Caenorhabditis elegans: one gene and its partners. The protein of the gene in region 4 interacts with the protein of the main gene of each other region in a pairwise test. Each region holds a gene or a part of one and is shown on either strand. Other genes may lie near its edges.

Region 1 (4,889 bases), on a different chromosome or scaffold from region 4:
CTCTTCGCTCCAAGACCCCCCAACAAGTAAGCCACGGTGGGGTTGCGCAAGGGCATCAAGAAGAGGAGCGGCTGAGAAAAAATGACGACAATCATCAGATCGAACGACAAATAGAAACAGAAACACTCGGAAGAGAAGGGAAGAGAGATAGAAAGGGGAAGATGTCTATATACACATCATTCCTAACCATTTCTTCTTATCTTCTCAATAGTTGGTAAAATGTCCATGATATTTGTTCTCGTCGCGAACAACAACAACACAAGCTGTTTATCAGTAAAGAAAAATACAAAAACCACCCGAAAAAAAGCTGCTTTCAGAACAGATGATTCGTAGTGGCAGCGGAGGATGGCGATAACATGAGATATGAGTGTTATGACATTGCATGTAGAATAGGGGGTGCTTTATTTCACGATGATGGCGAGGAGAGAGAGATAGAGATAGATGAACAACTTTAAGTGCTGCCAATTCACATGTTCTGGAGCTATTCGGAGGCCTTTGGAGTCAAATACAATAAGTTTGAAAGGAACAATAATTCAAGGTTTTCACATCACAATTTTCATTTTTCAACTGAAATTCAAAACTTCCACAATTATGAATAACGCCAAAGTTGTTCACAATTTTTGAATTGAAATTCAAAACCGAACAAAAACATTCCAAGGTGACTCACCATATTTTTTTAGTCACACGAAAACTTTGAGTTCTGTTCAATTTTCTTTTCGGCTGGGACTAAACACAGCTTTACATGTTACATGACCATAAAAACTGGATCAAATTAGTAAATGGAAAATTTATAAAGTCTGATACGGCTGAAAAAAAAACTCCTGCCTTTGAACCGTGCTCATCGTAATATCAAAAGTGTAGGCGGCGGGTTTAAAACTGGCGCCCAACTTCCTAACAAAACACTAATTTCTGCAATTGACTCACACTTTCTACTCGTACTCCTATTACACAACGTCCAACTATACATTCCATTTGATTAATTTCAAGTTGGTTGTTGCTGCTGATAATGATTATATCGTCCTCAACGTCAAATAAATCTAAATCAACAAAACTGAGAGAGAGAGAGAGAGAGAGATAACAAATCTTAAGCCTTCGAATAAATTCTTATCAGATTTATTTAGATCAACTGCCTGCCTACAGCGGAAAACTTAATTTACTGCGAAACGAATGCTACAACCTGCGCGAACAGGAAGCATGATGATCGACGACGATGATGATGAGGGGGAAGAGATTCGTACAAAATCCGCCATGAAGTGAACATGGTGAGAGACCAATGCATGTTATATAAACAAAAATCTACCAAGCGCGTCGAAATCAATCCGTTTATTGCAAATTGCAAAATCCAATCGGGACGAGGCGACGGCCTCCGGAATTTCCATGCCGCACAGCGTACGCCGATTAAAGTCAAATTCGACCAGAATCCATTTTGGAAATTAATCCCTCTTTGGCTAGGATTCGCTAGTTATGGTTGGTGGTCCAAGAGGAGAAAATTGCCTTCAATTTGTAGAGATTTTCAAGAAAATGAAGCGATCATTGGATATTCAATCAAGATAAATGTTTTACTGCTTAGTAAATATAAATTGGGATGATAACCACTAAGTCTTAATGTTTAAAGTGAGAAGATCAGGAGTAACTAAATAAAAATCCAAGAGCACCACAGTTCAACTCCACAAAATAGTAAAACTTTTTGACAGTCACTTATGAGAGAGAATGAAGAAATATCTATTATTTACAGTGTTGTGTGCCAACAACACACTGTAACACTGTCTGCGTCTCTTCCAAACTTTCTTTTTCTCCAAAGCGGAAAAGGAAGGGGATTATTTGGTGAAAATGAACAGAGAAATGGTATTCAACACATCCTCATCGGTGCGGCCTTGTTCTCAGCCGAATTAACCTCTCCGAGAAAACGAAAGGGGGCTGCTGCTTCTTCGGGAATGGAATAATATTGGAAGAGAATAAGACGAAGATAAAATTGCGTGCTTCTTGTTGATTTTCCTTTCATTATTCCCGACTGACTGTATTCATGGGAAAATTTGGGATACGCTTTTTTGCCTCCAAAATGACCTTTTTTCTGCAAATTTTTGGAGAAAAAAAATTACCATTCCCCTCGCTTTTTTGTACCGAAGAAGTGCTGCGTCTGCTAGTTGACCAACTGTCTGATCCTGAACAAGAAAAATATTAAAAAATTGATTGAACATTTGAAAAAAAAGCTCACCGATTCCTTCCATGGTACCACAATTTTCATTCGTCCAAATTGAACAGTGACTCGGCGAGTTCCATTCAGTGGAAGCGATTGATATTGGCTCTGAAAAATTAAAATATTGCTTATAATTATAAATTACAACCAAGGTTTCAAATATTCAATGGATTTCACATTTTTTAAAGTAAAAAATAATTCCAGATTTCGGTGTTATAATCGAAAAAGCCAGAAATTTCAAATTTGAAAAGGATCTTAAACTTTCCAACTCAAAAATAGAATGTGTACAAAATTCGGATTTTGACTTAAAAATTTGAATTTACAAAATCATTTTAAAATGCGCATTTTTGCAGTATGAAAATTTGCAGAAATGGAATTCTCAGCAGTTCAAGCATTTTTTTGAAACAAAAATCGGGTAGAACTGTTGACAGTTTGAATTGAAGATTTCTGAAGCGTGAATGAAAGATAATTCAAGATTTTTTCTCCAATTTTTAAGAAAAAAAAACTTCCGCACTCTATCAAGTGTAGATATTGAGGAATTCGCGTAACCACTCGCAATTCCGTACTGTTGCATTCGTTTTTTCAGTGTCGATTCACCCTCGTCGCTGCTTTTACAGCTTCCCGATGGTTCGCCACCTTCCGGACACGATGTGCTAGATGATGACGTGGATGAAGCCGACATGATGATCGATCTGAAAATGAGCAGATATAAAGAAAAATTAAATGAAATGAAAAGAAGTTTTAACAAACCAATCAACGTTTCTCCTCCCGAGAGGCTCTCTCGTTTCGCACCTATTTGCTCTGCGAGACCTTTTCTATCTGCAAGAAAATATATATTAGAGTGATAAGAAAATGATTGGTGTGTCTGTGAAGTAAGTAACAGTAAGAGAGAAAGAGCAAATGATTTAGTGTGCTCAGCGATGGAAAAAAGTTTGAATTTAGCGGGAAAACATTAAAATCTTAAAAATTTGTCCGAATTGCCCGCGCCAATTTTAAAAGGATACAAAAATTAGCTTTTTAGTGATTTTATTCTTGAGTTTTCAAATCTGTAATACAAAAAATTCAGCGTTTTAAGTTTTGTTTTTGCGCAGACAAATTCAGCTCGAAAAACAATATTCTGAAAAAAATCGGCCCGATTTCCGATTTCAATCGGATTTTTTCGTGTTTTCAAGATCTGAATAGCTTAATTGATCTTCTGGACGAGAATTAGTTGACGGAATGAGAAAAAACTCAAAATATCGCACATAAATCAATAGACAATCTAAAAATTTGAAGTTTTTGCAGATTTTAATTTTCAAAAAAAATTTCCCGCCATGCGATAGGTCTCGCCGCGAATGCGTACCGTACCCATCTGTTCCGAAAAATGATTACTGTATTTCTCAATTTCACAAGTCTACAAATTTTTTTAAATTTTATTTAAGAAAAAGCGGCCTTAAAACTGAATTCGCAGTCATCGCATTGCTCATCGCATAGCTAAATAATAAATGAATTTTTGATATCAAAACAAACAATGAAACCTTTGCTGGGAAAATGGGAGGACATTTCTGGAAGACAGAACGGGAGGAAGGTGGTTATCCAATTACATTTTTGGATTCTCTCTACTCTATTTTCTCTCTCAGTGCTCACCAAGGATTTCCAAATGTGCCTATTTTATTTCCACTTGGGCAATTTGTCAAGTGGAGAAGTCACACAGAGGATCCTCTAGAGAAGATGATGATCCATTATAATGAGCATGTTGGAGGAGACGAGTTTTTGGAAGAACACCGAGTTGTGCTGGGATGGATTTGTAAAAAAACAGGAAAGACTTGAAAATAAATTGCTCTACTTTTTGGGGAAAATTCAATTTTTCTTGGATTCGGAAAACCTTATTGTCGGTTTGTGATTTAAAATCAGACGCGGAATTTTGCGTTTTTCCAAAAATACGATACGAAAATGTTTTGTTAAATACATATATGTGGGGAACGCTATGAAAATTCAATGAAAATTCTTGAGCAACGAAAGTTTGAAATTACAGTACTCCTTAAAGGCGCAACCCTTTTCGCATTTAACAACAGTTTGTCGTGTCGAGACCGGGTACCGTATTTTCGGCGTAAAATAAACTAAAACCGACTATAGGTCACATATTGTGTACCATTACACTTTCTGATTGGCATTTTCCTAATGTAAAATGTCAAAAAAGAGAAGGTTGAGTCAGTGCGCACCAGCTGTATTGCACAAGAGTTAGAGAGCCATCACCTCATTGCATATGCCAACTTGACGCCACGACACACATATTTCATGAGATGGATTGGAGAAGCAAAATGACAAATTATAGTCGTGTCAATAAGTTATATGAAGTGGGTGCTGTCCCGACTATTAGTTGAGCTGGCAAACGACGAAATGAACAGAGATTGGCGCAGCGGTGCGCGATTGGATATTAGAAAAACAGTGAGTTACCAGCGGAGCTCGCGCGGCTTGTCAAATGCTCGGAGAGCCTGAATGGAAAAGCTCAAACTGAACAATCAACTTTTTGCACTTTTCTACGATTGCTTTTCCGAAAGTTTAAAAATCTACAAGAAAGATATTTTTAATTGCCTTTTATCGAAAAAAAAAGAGCAGGCGAGGTATTGCCATCGACGTTCATACCTCAACTTAATGTCAATGAGACTCATAGGTCCGATTGACCGAGACACTATTTGTGTAGAGGTATGCA
Region 2 (5,165 bases), 1.5 Mb from region 4:
GATATTCCCCGTAGTGGAAAACGGTTTCTCGCGAGAAAAAGCGCATTTCTTGCGTTTTTTCAGTGAAATTTGTATGAATGTAACCGATCCGTTGTGTTTTTCCGCCCGTTTTCTTTTAATGAACTGAAAATTCATTTTTTAGTTTTCAGATGCGTTTTTTTGGTGTACGGACAGTCCAGATTGCTTCTTTGGCTGGATTCTCGTGGGGAGGATCAAAGCTGGACGATATCCAAACAGCAAAACTCAGAACATGCCCAATTCAAGTTCAGCAACCCGAGAAAGTGCAGAATGATGTCCTCCTCAGTCGAAAAGTTATTAATCACCTGGATAAGTCAAACTTGAAGCTCCGATTGTATCAATACGAGACTTGCCCGTTCTGTTGCAAGGTGCGTTACTCTTGTGTGAAGTATGAAAACTATTAATCAAAAATACAGGTTCGAGCCTTCTTAGATTATCACGGATTCTCCTATGAGGTTGTAGAAGTAAATCCAGTCACTAGATCACAGATCAAGTTTAGCACAACTTATAAAAAAGTAAGTTTTCATTCACATTTCCGGTTGTTTTATCTATTTTCTTTCAGGTTCCAATTCTCAGGAGTGGCGAGACAACTATGACCGAGTCTACTTTGATTATTTCCACATTGGCAACATATCTTCAAAGACCCGATCAGTCACTCGACCAGATAATACAAATGTATCCAGCAGTTGATTCAACAAACGAGAAAGGAAAGCCAGTGGGTTTTTGAATTACTCTGCAATTTTAAAACATCCTTGCTGATTCAGGTTCTCAACTACCCTAACAAATTCTTCGTTATGAAGGGAAAAGTAGACGGGGACGCAAATATGGCTTCTGCCAGAGAAGAGCGGGAATGGAGAGAATGGGTGGACAATTGGTTCATCCATCTTATTTCTCCTAATGTATATCGTAATTGGAATGAGTCTGTCGAGACATTCCGTTGGTTCGAACAAGTTGGCGACTGGCATCGTACTTTTCCAGCCTGGGAGAGAGTTCTAGCGGTATACGTGGGTGCAGCAGCAATGTTTTTACTTTCAAAAACATTGAAGAAAAAGTAAGTTAGTTAGAAGTTTATATCATGATTTCTGATATTAAAGGCACAACATCAATGATGAACGAGAAGAATTGAGAAAGGCTTGTCGTGACTGGATGGCAGCAATTGGACCAAATAGACAGTTTTTAGGAGGAGATGAACCGAATCTAGCTGATCTGGTTGGTTTGATTTTTTGGAGAAGGATTTACAATCTGATATATTTTCAGTCATTATATGGAGCTATGAATTCTTTCTATGGATGCTCAGCGTTCAAAGAAGTTATTTTAGAAGAAAAAATTGCTGAATGGTGGCGAAAAATGGATGCACTTGTCAAAAACCACGATGGAAGAAAAGCATTGGAATCAAGAAGTCAAAAATAAAAGATTGAAATTGTTAATATAGACTAGTCCTTGATTTAGTGCCTTATTGTTTGCTGTGTTTTTGTTATCTTTCTCATCCTATTTGTCTTATTGAATCAATTCAATGTTTTACCAGCTAGGATCTCATTTTAGTTAAAATTCTACATTTTTCCCTCATAATAAACCATGTTTTACTCTGCATTCATGAAGACGGCAGTTTGCGCCATGCAGCGTTTGTTGACGCGCATTTGGTATCTCCCGTTGACGCAGTTGGTTCACTTTTGAATTGATTTTCGTATTCAGTTCTGGTCTACTTTTAATAAAATTAATCATATCGATAAACGATGTCACGTGATAGTGGCAACGATTCAGAAGTTGCGGTCACACACGGGGAAGTGGTGAGTTAATTTATTAGATTTTTTTAAAATTTCCTTACTAACAACCTAACGTAAAATGTTTCAGCAAGAAATAACGGAGGAAAATCCAGAAATCGGTTCTATGCACATTACACAAGAAACAGATATTTCCGATGCACCCGAAACAAACACAGATTCGAGTAGACAAAGAACAGAAAGTACAACCAGTGTCAGTTCAGAGTCTTGGCAAAATAATGTGAGTTTTCGCCAAAAAATGAAGATAAATTCCCAAGGAGATTAAAATGTTTCTAAATTAATATTTTTCAGGACGAAATGATGTCGAATCTTCGTCGTGCTCAAAGACTTCTTGATGATGGTGCCACTCCATTACAAATTATTCAACAAATTTTTCCTGATTTTAATGCATCACGAATTGCAACAATGTCAGAGAACGCGGTACTTAAAAAAAAAATTAAAATTGACAATTTCCTGAAAAAAAAACCAATTTTCAGCATTTCGCCATATTAAGCGATCTTCTAGAACGTGCTCCTGTAAGGCAGAAACTCACAAACTACAACTCACTAGCAGATGCAGTCGAACTATTTAAAACAAAGAAACATATTCTTGTGTTGACTGGCGCTGGAGTGTCAGTATCCTGTGGAATTCCAGATTTTCGAAGTAAAGATGGTATTTATGCACGACTTCGGAGCGAGTTTCCCGATCTTCCTGATCCGACAGCAATGTTCGATATTCGTTACTTCCGAGAAAATCCTGCTCCGTTCTACAATTTTGCGAGAGTAGGTTATTTTTCCTTTTACTGTGTTTAAGCTAATAAGATCAATAAGTTTAGTTTGCCAATTTTTGCTTAAATATACCAAAATTAGCCCGATTTTTTTTCACAATGAGACTTTTCAAAAAATTTTCGAACACTTTATGGCGGGCCAGAATATCGGAAAAAAGGAGCCACATTTTGCTAAAATCTGAAATTGGCGAAATTTTAAATTTTAGCAAAATTTGGCTCTCTCTTTTCGATATTCTCAGCCGCCAGAAAAATTTGTTCGAACTTTTTTGAGAAGTCTCATTATTTATGATATTTGTTTGTTTCGAGACAGTTCTATTTAATTTTAAAAGAAAACCCCACAAACTCTATTCTCCTCTAACGTTCCATTTCTCTAGTAAATCCCAATTGAACTCGCTGCAGCGACGCTGTCTCAAAAATTTCAATATCCAAAAAAAAATTAAATATTTCAGGAAATCTTCCCAGGACAGTTCGTACCATCTGTATCACATCGATTTATCAAAGAGCTTGAAACTTCTGGTCGTCTTCTTCGAAATTACACTCAAAATATCGATACATTAGAGCATCAGACTGGAATTAAAAGAGTTGTGGAATGTCATGGATCCTTTTCGAAATGTACATGTACACGTTGTGGACAAAAATATGATGGGAATGAGATTCGTGAGGAAGTTCTTGCTATGCGTGTTGCCCATTGCAAACGTTGCGAAGGAGTGATCAAACCGAATATTGTATTCTTTGGAGAGGATCTCGGAAGAGAATTTCATCAACATGTTACAGAAGACAAGCATAAAGTAGATCTCATTGTAGTTATTGGATCTTCTCTCAAAGTTCGACCAGTTGCATTAATTCCACATTGTGTTGATAAGAATGTTCCACAAATTCTAATCAACAGAGAATCCCTCCCACATTATAATGCAGATATTGAATTGCTCGGAAATTGTGATGACATCATCAGAGATATCTGTTTCAGTCTTGGAGGCTCCTTCACTGAACTGATTACATCTTATGATTCGATTATGGAACAACAAGGAAAAACGAAATCACAAAAGCCTTCACAAAACAAACGACAGTTGATTTCACAGGAAGACTTTTTGAATATTTGTATGAAAGAGAAAAGAAATGATGATTCGAGTGATGAGCCAACATTGAAGAAACCAAGAATGTCGGTGGCTGACGATTCGATGGATTCCGAGAAGAATAATTTCCAAGAAATACAAAAACATAAGTCAGAAGATGACGATGATACACGGAATTCGGACGATATTCTCAAGAAAATAAAGCATCCAAGGCTGCTGAGCATTACTGAGATGCTCCATGACAATAAGTGTGTCGCGGTGAGTGGTTTTGAAAATTAAAAAGTTAAAAGTTAGAAAATATTTCTAAACAACCCTACCAGTTTACAATTAATAATTTTTTCTTCAGATTTCTGCTCATCAAACCGTCTTTCCTGGAGCCGAATGCTCATTTGATCTAGAAACATTGAAACTGGTTCGTGATGTTCATCACGAGACACATTGCGAAAGTTCGTGTGGTTCGTCTTGCTCATCAAATGCCGATTCAGAAGCAAATCAATTATCTAGAGCACAATCGCTAGATGACTTTGTACTATCTGACGAGGTTAGTTCATCATAAAAACTTTCTTGAGGTGCTCTTAAAAGTGTCAAAGAAAAATTGAAAATGTAAAGCTGCAGAACAGTTTTTGAAATTTTAAACACTACTTCTGCCATTTCCGCGAAAACCTATCTATAAATTATTAATTACAGGATCGAAAAAACACGATACATCTGGACTTGCAACGAGCCGATTCATGTGATGGAGATTTTCAGTATGAACTATCTGAAACGATTGATCCTGAAACATTCTCGCATTTGTGTGAAGAAATGCGTATCTGAATCTCATGTTAAAAAATTTCAATTTTCCTTCTCTTGTGTTCTCAATTTTACACCAAATCCCATTGAAAAACGCGTTTTCATCTGTTATTGTGTGTTTAAACTTTTAAAACTTTAAATTGTTTTTCAATTCTTTGCAAACATCAAAATAAAATTAAAAAATTTCATTCTATTATGTCCATATTGAAAATCCATGTTTTGCGTAGAGTATCATGGCTGGAATAATGAGAAAACCAAGTTTTAAATATGAAAAATCGGGCTCTTTGGGTCGAAGATGTTTTGCAAAAGCTTTTCTTGATGGCTTAGCTGCTTGTCGAATCCTCCATTCAATAAGTTCTTCGTGTGGAATTGGAGTATCAGAAAACATTCGGGAGAATTTTTCGCAATTTTGGGTATATCTGAAACAACATTAGTTGATCGAAGTACATTATTAGCATTAGAATATTTAAAATTGGAATACCGTCAATGTTAATTTAACTTTAAACAAACTTTGTAATACTCAGACTGGTTTAAAAAAAAACCACGCCCATTTCTCCGTGCCGCAATTTGTTTGGTTTTGACTCCTGTTTCCAATTTTTGATAGAATAATGAGATTAGAAAGTTCAAAAATCGCTAAAATCATCAATATTTTTTCAAATTTAATGCATTCATTTCGTTGTAGTTTTGTGGTATCTTGGTATTTGGGACCAGTCTGAGTATTTTAAAGTGAAAGCA
Region 3 (5,229 bases), 750 kb from region 4:
TTCTCATATATAAAGCCTCCGAAAATCTACAAAATTCATATTTTCTCACTTTACAAGATTCAAAACCTCTCGGAAGCGAAAAAAGAATAATGATCTCGCAAGTGAGTTTTCTGTCAGGATTCTGATATTTTCCAAACCTCTCGCTTCCAGATCATTTTGCTATTAACTCTCAATATCTTGCCATTTGTGCTGGTCCATTGTGGGAGCAAGAAGAAAACAGTGGCTCCAAAACCGGTCGCTAAACTTATGGCAGCACCTGCTGGAGGAGTCGGAAAAAGCGACTCATTCGATTCGAAGAAACAAGACGTTCCATCGTCAAAGAAGGATGAACCAGTGGCTCCAAAGAAAGAAGATGTGAGTTATTTTTGGCATATTTTAAAAGACAAAACGAACGTTTTTAGGAGGGCAACTACGAGGAGCTCGCCATCCCACAATAGTCCTCAATGTATCCTAATAAATTTTTTGAAATTCCCCCTTTTCTGTGTTATTAAAGCATAGAAGAAAATAAATACATATAGATAAATCATCGTCAAAATTTATGGAACAAAACGAACATCGAGAATTTCAATTCAACCAGAATTGTAAAATAACATTTAGAAAAATGATGATAATGACACAAGAATTCGGTGAGCGGGGAGGAATGGAACAAAATAAATAATATATTGAATATATACATGGGGCGAAGATTTTTAGATTTATTTACGCAGCAATCTTGTGAACAATCCTTTCTTCGTTTTCTCACATGCCACTTCTCTTAGTGGTTTCTTAAAAACTGCCGGAGATGCTTGCGGTTTATCCGGAACTGGTGGTTGCCAATCATTTCGACTTCTGGTGATCTTTGCGTACCGAGGACCACTATATCTGTCCTTTTCTTCACATTCCAATCGTTTGACCTGTTCGATAAATTCAACAGGTACTGCAAAAAGAGATTGAAAGTTTGCGAGGAGGACAGCGGTTATCAGCATTCCTTGTTGCTTTCGGCATTTACTACAAACACCTGTCCAGAGTCCGATGATTGCCTGAAATCGAAAATTTAAAATTGATATTACGCAGACGCAAAAGTTCGCGACAAAAGTACGGTACCGGTCTCGAGGCGACAAATTTTTCTTTTGTCGAATGAAACGAATGAAGATTTCTGCAGAATTTTAATTGTTGAAATATAGGTGTTAATTTTGTAGTGCTAAATTGATAAATATTTTTTTTTATCAAATAACTAATTAAAATCCATAAAAATTCGGCAGAAATGAGAGTTTGAAATTACAGTACTCCTTGAGGGCGCACACATTTTCTTATCTAACAAAAAGTTGTCGTGTCGAGACCGGTTACAGTAGTTTTCTTGCAAAATTATCCCCTCCTTACCGCTTCCCGATTGTTGGAAGATCCGTTAGAAGGATCAGCGAGGTCGAAAACTGCATTCGTTTCGATCGATTGAATGAATGTAACAAATTTGTGAAGTTTCCGACGTCGTGAAGTTGGAAGCGAAAGAAGTACCAATTGAATTGCTTCGATCAACCATTGCTCTCGGATTTCGTAGGATTTTTCGTCTGAAATTATAATTTTAAGTAAAAATCGTGAAACTGTAATAAAAATAAAATTCTTTACCTTGTATTTCCAAATTCACTCTATTATCAAATGGTGATAACGCACGTCGTCGATACTTTGAAGCTCGAATTCCGCATGCTGGAAGATCACGGGAGAATCCATCGACCATCAATCCAGCCTCCTCAATACTAGACGCAGACGAAGAAATCATCACTTTCGACCATCGCCTTGCAGGCCCATTGTCAAGCATTGCCGCGAAGCTATCGATTTTGCAGAGGAGATTAACAATAAGAGAGCATTCATCGAATTGAAGAGGAGCATTCAAGTCTTCGAGACGATTGACTAGAGTTATGAAAATCCGATTGACGTTGTATTCCAACCCTGTGTCCATTTTTTTATGCGTGACGAAGGGATATCGAACAAGATAATCCATGAATTGAATAACAGTTTGGGGATAATCGGGCTGCAGTCCCTGACATCTCGATTTGACGATTCCATCAGCATGATCTATTTCAATCATGTTCCACTGAATATCGTATCCATCGACTTTAGATGCCCATTCACAGGGAAGAGTGCGATCGTAAATTTGTTCCAATCGTCCAAGCAGCTCTGTTTTCCAAAATGAGCATTCGTTGTTTGCCTGGACAGAGTCTGCAACTGGAACAACCGACGATCTTCTCATGATGGATTCGTACATTCTTCCACGCGATAACAATGCTGGATTTGATCCTGCGATGCTTGTCCGATGATTTTGATATCTGCTAGGAACTGCAGGCAACGGTCCTTGTGGATGCATAAAGACGACGTCTTTCGGGGCTTCTCGAATTGGCGGAGTGGTTACTTTCTGACTACGAAGAGCAGCTTCAGCTTTTTCTTGTTCCAAAACACAATGATTTCGATCAAGGGATGCTGAACGACGGGTTGGTTGATTGACTTTCGTGTGATTTCGTCTTGATTTGAAAAACGGTAACCAATCATAAACCTTCTCTTTCATCTCAGAAACTTCTCGTTTTTCAGTATATTCTTCTGTACAGATACTTTCAAGTGATCTGTTCAAAATCTTCGGAGTTCGTTGTTTCTTCGGGATTTCATCGTCTTTATGATCATCGAAACCGTGATTCTCAACGCCGCCTGAAGAATTATCGATGCCTGCTTTGTCAATGTTGCCATTAGATCGCGATAATCTTCGTGGGAGCCTTGCCTTTGGTGGCCGGTGCATTGTCGCGGCAGGAGAGGCAGGTTGAGCAACTCTGGAAATATATTTTATAGCACAGTTTAAAATGATTATTTGGCATACTTTGCACTTTTGCGAGCACCACTGAAAGACGCTGATCGACGTGATCGGGGCTTGGGATGCTTCAACTCATCCAAAGTCTTCATGAACAAATATATTCTCGATTCACTGAATGGCCTCCTTTGCTTGACTTTCTTCGGGAAGGCTTCTGAAATCACGTTCATGTCCATCATGAACTCCAGGAACTTCTGCATCTTGTCTCGTTCCGGAACATTGTTAGGGATGATTCGTGGCATTTCAATCATCAGAAAATCCACAGCTTCTTTCCCGCTGAAACTGTTTTCCGCAGTGGCCAATCCTCTTCTGTTCGTTTTGAGTGATAAGTTTGAACGAAAATGCCATAGAATTTCGTCGAACTGAAAATCAGAATAAAATTTCAAAAGACAAATGTGAAACATTTTAATACCAGATGCGTCGCCTTGAACTTCTCCGATGAGTAGTCGGCAGACATCACGGCAAGACGGCCTAAAACTTGAATTTTGATGGTTTATTGATAAATTTAAGAACTTCTTAAAAGAAAACGAGATTTCATCACGAAAAAAAGCAAGAATGAGGAAAAATTTCTGGAAACTTCCTAAAAATTGCTGAAACGAGTGAAGTTTTGGCGCCGAAGTTTTGTTTACGGACCAAACACACGAAAACACGACTTGTCACACAACTTATTAGCTACAGTAACCCATTCTGCTTTGAAAATTTCTCTTTTTAATTAAAAATTCCTCGATTCAGATGTTTTTTTTTTCTCAAAGTGTTTCTAATAATTATATTTTCCTCGAAATCCACACTATTTTACATAAAACAAATCATCTTATTCTGCTCTTTTCGCCGTTTACACCATCTGTCCTTCTCCAATGACTCCTTCTCTGCGTCTCTTTCACTCTCTCGCCGCCCTCTTTTTCTCTGTCGTCTCTCACTTCGACGTACTTTCTCTCGTGTTGTTGTTCCCGTACTTTTGTGTGTTCCACTGTTTGTGAGATGACGGCTAGTTGCCTGGTACTGGATTCTCACCAGTTTTAATTGATTTTTCATCAAATTTTCTTTAAAAACTGATTAAACTTTGTGATTTTTATCGTATTTTTACAGATTTTCAGTTCAAAATGTCCGATGAGAAGTCTACCACACCAACCGCTCAACTCGACGCTCCAGCCGATGGAAATATGAATGATTTGACGTCGTTGGTACGTAAATACTTGAAAAAAATTGTCAATTTTCTAAAAAATCCTAAAACTCAGATACAAGGAGTTCTGCAACAGACACAGGATCGATTCCAGCACATGTCGGATCAGATTATTCGGCGAATCGATGATATGACAACGAGAATCGATGATTTGGAGAAGAATATCAACGATTTGCTGCAATCGAACCAAGTTGAACATCCGCCAAGCGCTCAATAAGATTGGTACGGAATGAGAAAAATGGGAAACATTCTCAAAAATTTCGGTCGATGTTTTGACCACTCGTTATTTTTGAAAAACAGTGTTGTTTTTGATGTCGACTTTGAAATTTCAAAAAAAAACAATAATATGGGCCGTGGGACCCAATTAGAAATACAGTAAAAAACGCTCTTTGGCCGAATATTTTATAATTTTCATGTATGAAGTCAATCCTTTTATTCCTTCTTAACTTTAGTTTGAAATATATTTAGATTTCCTAGCGCCTTTCCAATCGATTTACCACGTGGTAATCAGGCCGATTGCACCGTTATTCCAAGACTTTATCATTAAAAATTAGTATAAAAATATAGAACTTCACCTATTAATTTTGGCTGAAAAATTCGCCGAAGAGCTCAAAAATGGTCTGAAAGATGCCAAATTTCCACTAAAAAATCAATTTGTAGAGATTATTAATAACTAATCTCTCTTCAATTTCTATTTTTTCCAGCTCTACACTCTTCCCAAATGAATCATCGTCGCTTCCTTCTTCATCATCATCATAATTCCAATTCGTTTTGTGTGCTTCTCTGCGTCTCTCCTACATACATATACTCTTTTCACGTCTTCTTCTTCTTCTTTTTCTACTGATTATGCACGTGTTGAGAGGATTCATGACTACTATGTTGTGCCTCCTGCTTTTAATCTCTTATTCAATAACTTTTGTTGCATTTTATTACGATTTTCGGAATTATTTTATTTATATGTGAAAACACAAATTTTGCCAAAAATTCAAATTTTTGTGCATTTTTAAAAAAAATTTTCAATATGAAACTATTCATCTTACTTTTTCTTCTTCTTCCCTTGAATTTTTTCTCATACTAAATGTTGATTTCTCACAGTTTTTACTAACTATTTCGCATCCGGATTTTCAGATAAAAAACATATAATTTCAGAAATGGGAGCTCAAAATTCGAAGCGAAAAGATCTAAAAAATATTAACGATGAGGATTATGCACATTTTAT
Region 4 (3,863 bases):
TCAATCGGTCTCGTCATGATCTGTGAAAACACATGAAGTCTCCAGAATTAAGTTTTTTTCCGAAAATTATATTGCCCAGGAGCGAAATTTTGAGCTTTTTGCGCCAAAAGTACGGTACTTAGTCTCGACACGTCTAATATTTGTTGAACGCAAAAAGGTGTGAGTCTTTAAAGAGTACTGTAATTTTAAACTTCTATTGCTGCGGAATTTTTATCGATGTTTCATAGTTTTTCGACAAAGAATATATTTATTTTCAAAAGAACACTCAAATGTTACCATAAAACACTTAATTTTTAACGAATCGTGGAAGAAACTATCAAAAAATTTTCGGCAGCTTAAAGGCGCACACTTTTTCACATTTCATTTAATTTTTCGTGTTGAGACCTTCTAAGAGGTTAATGCAAATGTTTTATCCTATTTATGCTCCTTCATCGAAATCTGAAAATAAATTCCATTCCATTACTCGAAAAACTCCTGGAAAGTTGTGATGAAATTCGGACAACCGGAAAAGTTCACCAAACATTTATGTTCAAAAAGATCTAAAAATAAAGATCGGGGATAATAAGAGAAAAATGGAAGATGGGGGTTCATTATACTTTACAGCACATAATAATCATAGAACAATACGCCATTTTAGGAATGACAATAGTGACGGAGTGAATTACAGCGAAATAGAGCATGAAGAGAATTATGGCTTGGAGATCTAGAGCACTTGAAGACCGAATTTTCTTTCATGATGCTATTGCGCAGTGTTGTATGGAGTATTGGTGAATACGTTAAGTCTAAAACAAAAACGGTGATTAGGCAACTCTCTCGGCTAACGTACCGGAAATGTTGGAGGATAACTGAAAGTTGAAGAGATGCGAGGAAAGAGAACGGAGTTCAGCTCTCTGAAAACCGAAACTATTTTTTCGAAGCAAGATTTGATGTGAAAGGAAAAGAGGAAAAAGGTCAGCTTTATATAATGGCAATAAAACATTTTGAAATCGTACTTAGTTTCCAGCTTCCTGGTTTCCCTCCTGCTCTTGATCTTCAGCTCCAACGTCAGATGTCCAGAGAGTGAGATTGTCACGTAGAAGTTGCATGATCAAGGTCGAGTCCTTGTACGAATCCTCGTTCAACGTGTCGAGCTCAGCAATAGCATCATCGAAAGCCTGTTTCGCGAGTTGGCAAGCGTGCTCTGGAGTGTTCAAGATCTCGTAGTAGAAGACAGAGAAGTTGAGGGCAAGTCCAAGGCGAATTGGGTGGGTTGGCTGCATCTTGTCCTTAGCGATATCAAGAGCCTCCTGAAAGTCATGCCATTTACATCAAGAATTTAGTTATTTTCAAATACCTGGTAAGCCTTCTGGGACTTCTCAACAACGGCAGCGCGATCCTCTGAAGCGACCTCGGCGAGGTATCTGTAGTAATCTCCTTTCATCTTGAGATAGAAGACCTTCGACTCAGCAGCTCCAGCCTTGACAATGAGGAACTCGTCGAGGAGCTTGAGCACATCTTGGCAGATGTCGTTGAGTTCTTGCTCAACCTGAAATAATGTAAATAAGTTACTAAAATTCTTGAAATTAATAAAATCTTGCTTGGTGTAGTTACCTTGACGCGGTATTCCTTGGCGAGTTGTTGCTTCTTCTCGGATCCCTCGGTCTTTTGCTCAATGGAAGAGATAACTCTCCACGATGAACGGCGAGCTCCGACGACGTTTTTGTAGGCAACAGAGAGAAGGTTACGCTCTTCGTTGGAAAGCTCCTGTCCCTGCTCGGTCACCTGAAAAATAGTAAATTTGAAACCTCCGTAAATGATGTTTTATCTTACTTTCTTCATGGCGGCAGCCATATCATCGTATCGCTCGGCTTGTTCGGCAAGCTTGGCGCGTTGAACGAGCTCTTCCACGGTATCGGACATTTTTTCAGTGAGCAAGTCTTCTGAAACAAAATTTATAATGAAATATTGAGAACGAAAAGAGAAGAACATAGGCGAGAGTAATAATCGAAACGGAGAGCCCTAGAACATTCGAAACAGCCCGCACGACGTTTGAAAGAAGAAAAATCGATGGACAGCAGTGCCGGCCGATGAGAGAGCGCGTGCCGCCGCCGTCGCATGACAACAACTAAAGTGGGCAACGCACACTCACTCAATTTGTGTCTGTCCGTCTTTTTCTCTGGCGCACACATTCGCTCCTCATATATAGCATTGTCTACACAAAAAATTTCAGATTTTTTGGGCATTTGATAAGAAAACACGGGAATAGAAGGATGAATGGCAGTGGTGACAACGGGCGCAGCAAGCACACTAATCTTTCGGTGAGCACGTTACACAAAACTCAGGAGGTTTCGTCAGGACTTTTACCTGAACAACGCAAAAAAATAATTTTCGAGAATTGCTAAATCGTGTTGGTGGGGATTAGGATATAATTAAAGAAAAAATCACTATTTTGGGCCAACATTTGAAAATCGAGGAAGAAATCAGAGGAAATGATAGCTTTTAGACAGAAAATTGAGGGCAAGAGGAGCATAAAAGCGAGAAGGATAATTTTACAAAAAAAAATTGTGATGAAATGAGCATTGAATCGTTGAATTCTAGAAGAAACCAGCAACAAATTCGCGGAAATTCCGCGGTTCGAATACGTTTTTTCGCGGGGCTTCTTTTTTCGCGGCGAAATATCGCGCAGAGGGAATAGCTTGCGCCTTTAAAGAAAATGGCGGTTCATTCGAAAAAAAAAGGCTCTGCGTGTTAAAACATGTTATGAAACGACAGAAATTTCTTTTTTTCTAGAAACATGAAATTGGAGAACAGTAATCGGTTGGAAGTTCTCCGACCGCCGTCGTTCAAAGCATTATCAGTGTAACAGTGAATGCAGTTTAAATTGATAAGTTTTCCATGGAGAATCGAAAAAATTGGTTGCAAAATATATTCTTTTTACAAAGAAGATTGTAAGCAATTTTTAAAAATTTTTGAAAAACGTTTAAACGAAAAATGCATATAATATACGGTTGAATGAAGAAAAAGAAAAGATCGAGCAGCGAAATGAGCGAATCTTTGGGTTTCTACATGAAATCTGACGGAAAATGAATATTTAAATGAATCTACACAAAAAGCGTGCACTGTTCAGCGGAGCATTATTGCGCGGGAACATTTAACGTTTCGAAAATGCCTCGAGTTCGCAAATGAACATCGCGATTTCAAGCTGAAATATTTATAAAATCGGGGAAGGTTTTTTTTAAAATTTGTTGACATCGGGGGATTGGCCACGCCCATAGAACCGTGCGGAGGTTGCAAAATTTGATCGTGGGCGTGGCCCGTCCCACAGATTGGGTTCCCCCGATCCGAATCCCTCGCCGCCGTTAATCGTCCGATTCGTCTGGTCTCAAGAATAGTAGTATTTGAATTGCCGCGAAACCGTACTCCACGCCACTATTCATCAAACTATATCAAACTATATATCAAACTATTTTTGAACTGCCCCGCCTGTTTGGCTTGAGACTATGCGCTAAATGATGAAACTAAGGCTCTCTTCGGTGGCATGGTCGCCGACCATTTTAGGTATCTGGTCCAATACGACGATATCAACAGAGAAGAGCATGCACACAAGTCGCGAATCGCTTATCAGGTATTTGAATAACTAAATTCTTGATGTAAATGAAATGACTTTCAGGAGGCTCTTGGTATCGCTAAGGACAAGATGCAGCCAACTCACCCAATTCGCCTTGGACTTGCCCTCAATGCAAGCGCCTTAAACTTCGATGTCCTGAATCTTCCCAAAGAAGCCAACGAAATTGCACAGAGTGCTCTTGATAGTGCTCATCGCGAATTGGAGAAGATGAAGAGCTCACTGGATTCGTACGATATCTCGAACTTGAAACGTGCTC

Evidence for each region.
Region 1: the proteins of par-5 (region 4) and par-3 interact in a two-hybrid assay, tested with the Caenorhabditis elegans proteins (one study listed by BioGRID).
Region 2: the proteins of par-5 (region 4) and sir-2.1 interact in binary tests that used the Caenorhabditis elegans proteins (3 or more experiments, as listed by UniProt).
Region 3: the proteins of par-5 (region 4) and let-99 interact in a two-hybrid assay, tested with the Caenorhabditis elegans proteins (one study listed by BioGRID).

The regions. Positions count from the first base shown.
Region 1 is NC_003281.10:5,662,362-5,667,250, reverse strand, and holds the start of par-3 (PDZ domain-containing protein), read right to left. Parts: upstream 3,019-4,889; 5' UTR 2,948-3,018; intron 2,890-2,947; 5' UTR 2,880-2,889; coding exon 2,712-2,879; intron 2,306-2,711; coding exon 2,216-2,305; intron 2,163-2,215; coding exon 2,100-2,162; intron 1-2,099. UniProt on the Caenorhabditis elegans protein: In cooperation with pkc-3, required for establishing cell polarity and regulating spindle orientation in the early embryo. Localization is crucial for recruiting par-6 and pkc-3 to the peripheral apical cortex and restricting par-2 to basolateral surfaces.
Region 2 is NC_003282.8:10,362,775-10,367,939, reverse strand, and holds sir-2.1 (NAD-dependent protein deacetylase sir-2.1), read left to right. Parts: upstream 1-1,710; 5' UTR 1,711-1,751; coding exon 1,752-1,805; intron 1,806-1,869; coding exon 1,870-2,019; intron 2,020-2,090; coding exon 2,091-2,219; intron 2,220-2,275; coding exon 2,276-2,560; intron 2,561-3,014; coding exon 3,015-3,896; intron 3,897-3,984; coding exon 3,985-4,179; intron 4,180-4,325; coding exon 4,326-4,454; 3' UTR 4,455-4,622; downstream 4,623-5,165. Other genes in the region: pges-2 (Prostaglandin E synthase 2), read left to right, coding at 150-386, 435-533, 581-733, 783-1,069, 1,113-1,227, 1,276-1,428; ugt-59 (glucuronosyltransferase), read right to left, coding at 4,624-4,849. UniProt on the Caenorhabditis elegans protein: NAD-dependent deacetylase. Involved in metabolism, apoptosis, response to oxidative stress, response to DNA damage, and determination of lifespan.
Region 3 is NC_003282.8:12,565,914-12,571,142, reverse strand, and holds let-99 (Protein let-99), read right to left. Parts: upstream 3,302-5,229; 5' UTR 3,288-3,301; coding exon 3,243-3,287; intron 3,193-3,242; coding exon 2,840-3,192; intron 2,793-2,839; coding exon 1,603-2,792; intron 1,545-1,602; coding exon 1,360-1,544; intron 1,020-1,359; coding exon 696-1,019; 3' UTR 521-695; downstream 1-520. Other genes in the region: K08E7.4 (uncharacterized protein), read left to right, coding at 90-101, 151-354, 402-437; hsb-1 (Heat shock factor-binding protein 1), read left to right, coding at 3,931-4,011, 4,066-4,227; eak-7 (MTOR-associated protein MEAK7), read left to right, coding at 5,162-5,229. UniProt on the Caenorhabditis elegans protein: Required for the proper orientation of spindles after the establishment of polarity. May play a role in interactions between the astral microtubules and the cortical cytoskeleton. Required for asymmetric forces on nuclei and spindles.
Region 4 is NC_003282.8:11,819,999-11,823,861, forward strand, and holds par-5 (14-3-3-like protein 1), read right to left. Parts: upstream 1,920-3,863; 5' UTR 1,900-1,919; coding exon 1,810-1,899; intron 1,762-1,809; coding exon 1,591-1,761; intron 1,526-1,590; coding exon 1,334-1,525; intron 1,287-1,333; coding exon 993-1,286; intron 891-992; 3' UTR 827-890; intron 783-826; 3' UTR 508-782; downstream 1-507. Other genes in the region: M117.3 (14-3-3 domain-containing protein), read left to right, coding at 3,518-3,604, 3,650-3,863. UniProt on the Caenorhabditis elegans protein: Required to modulate lifespan, in concert with hcf-1, acting redundantly with 14-3-3-like protein ftt-2.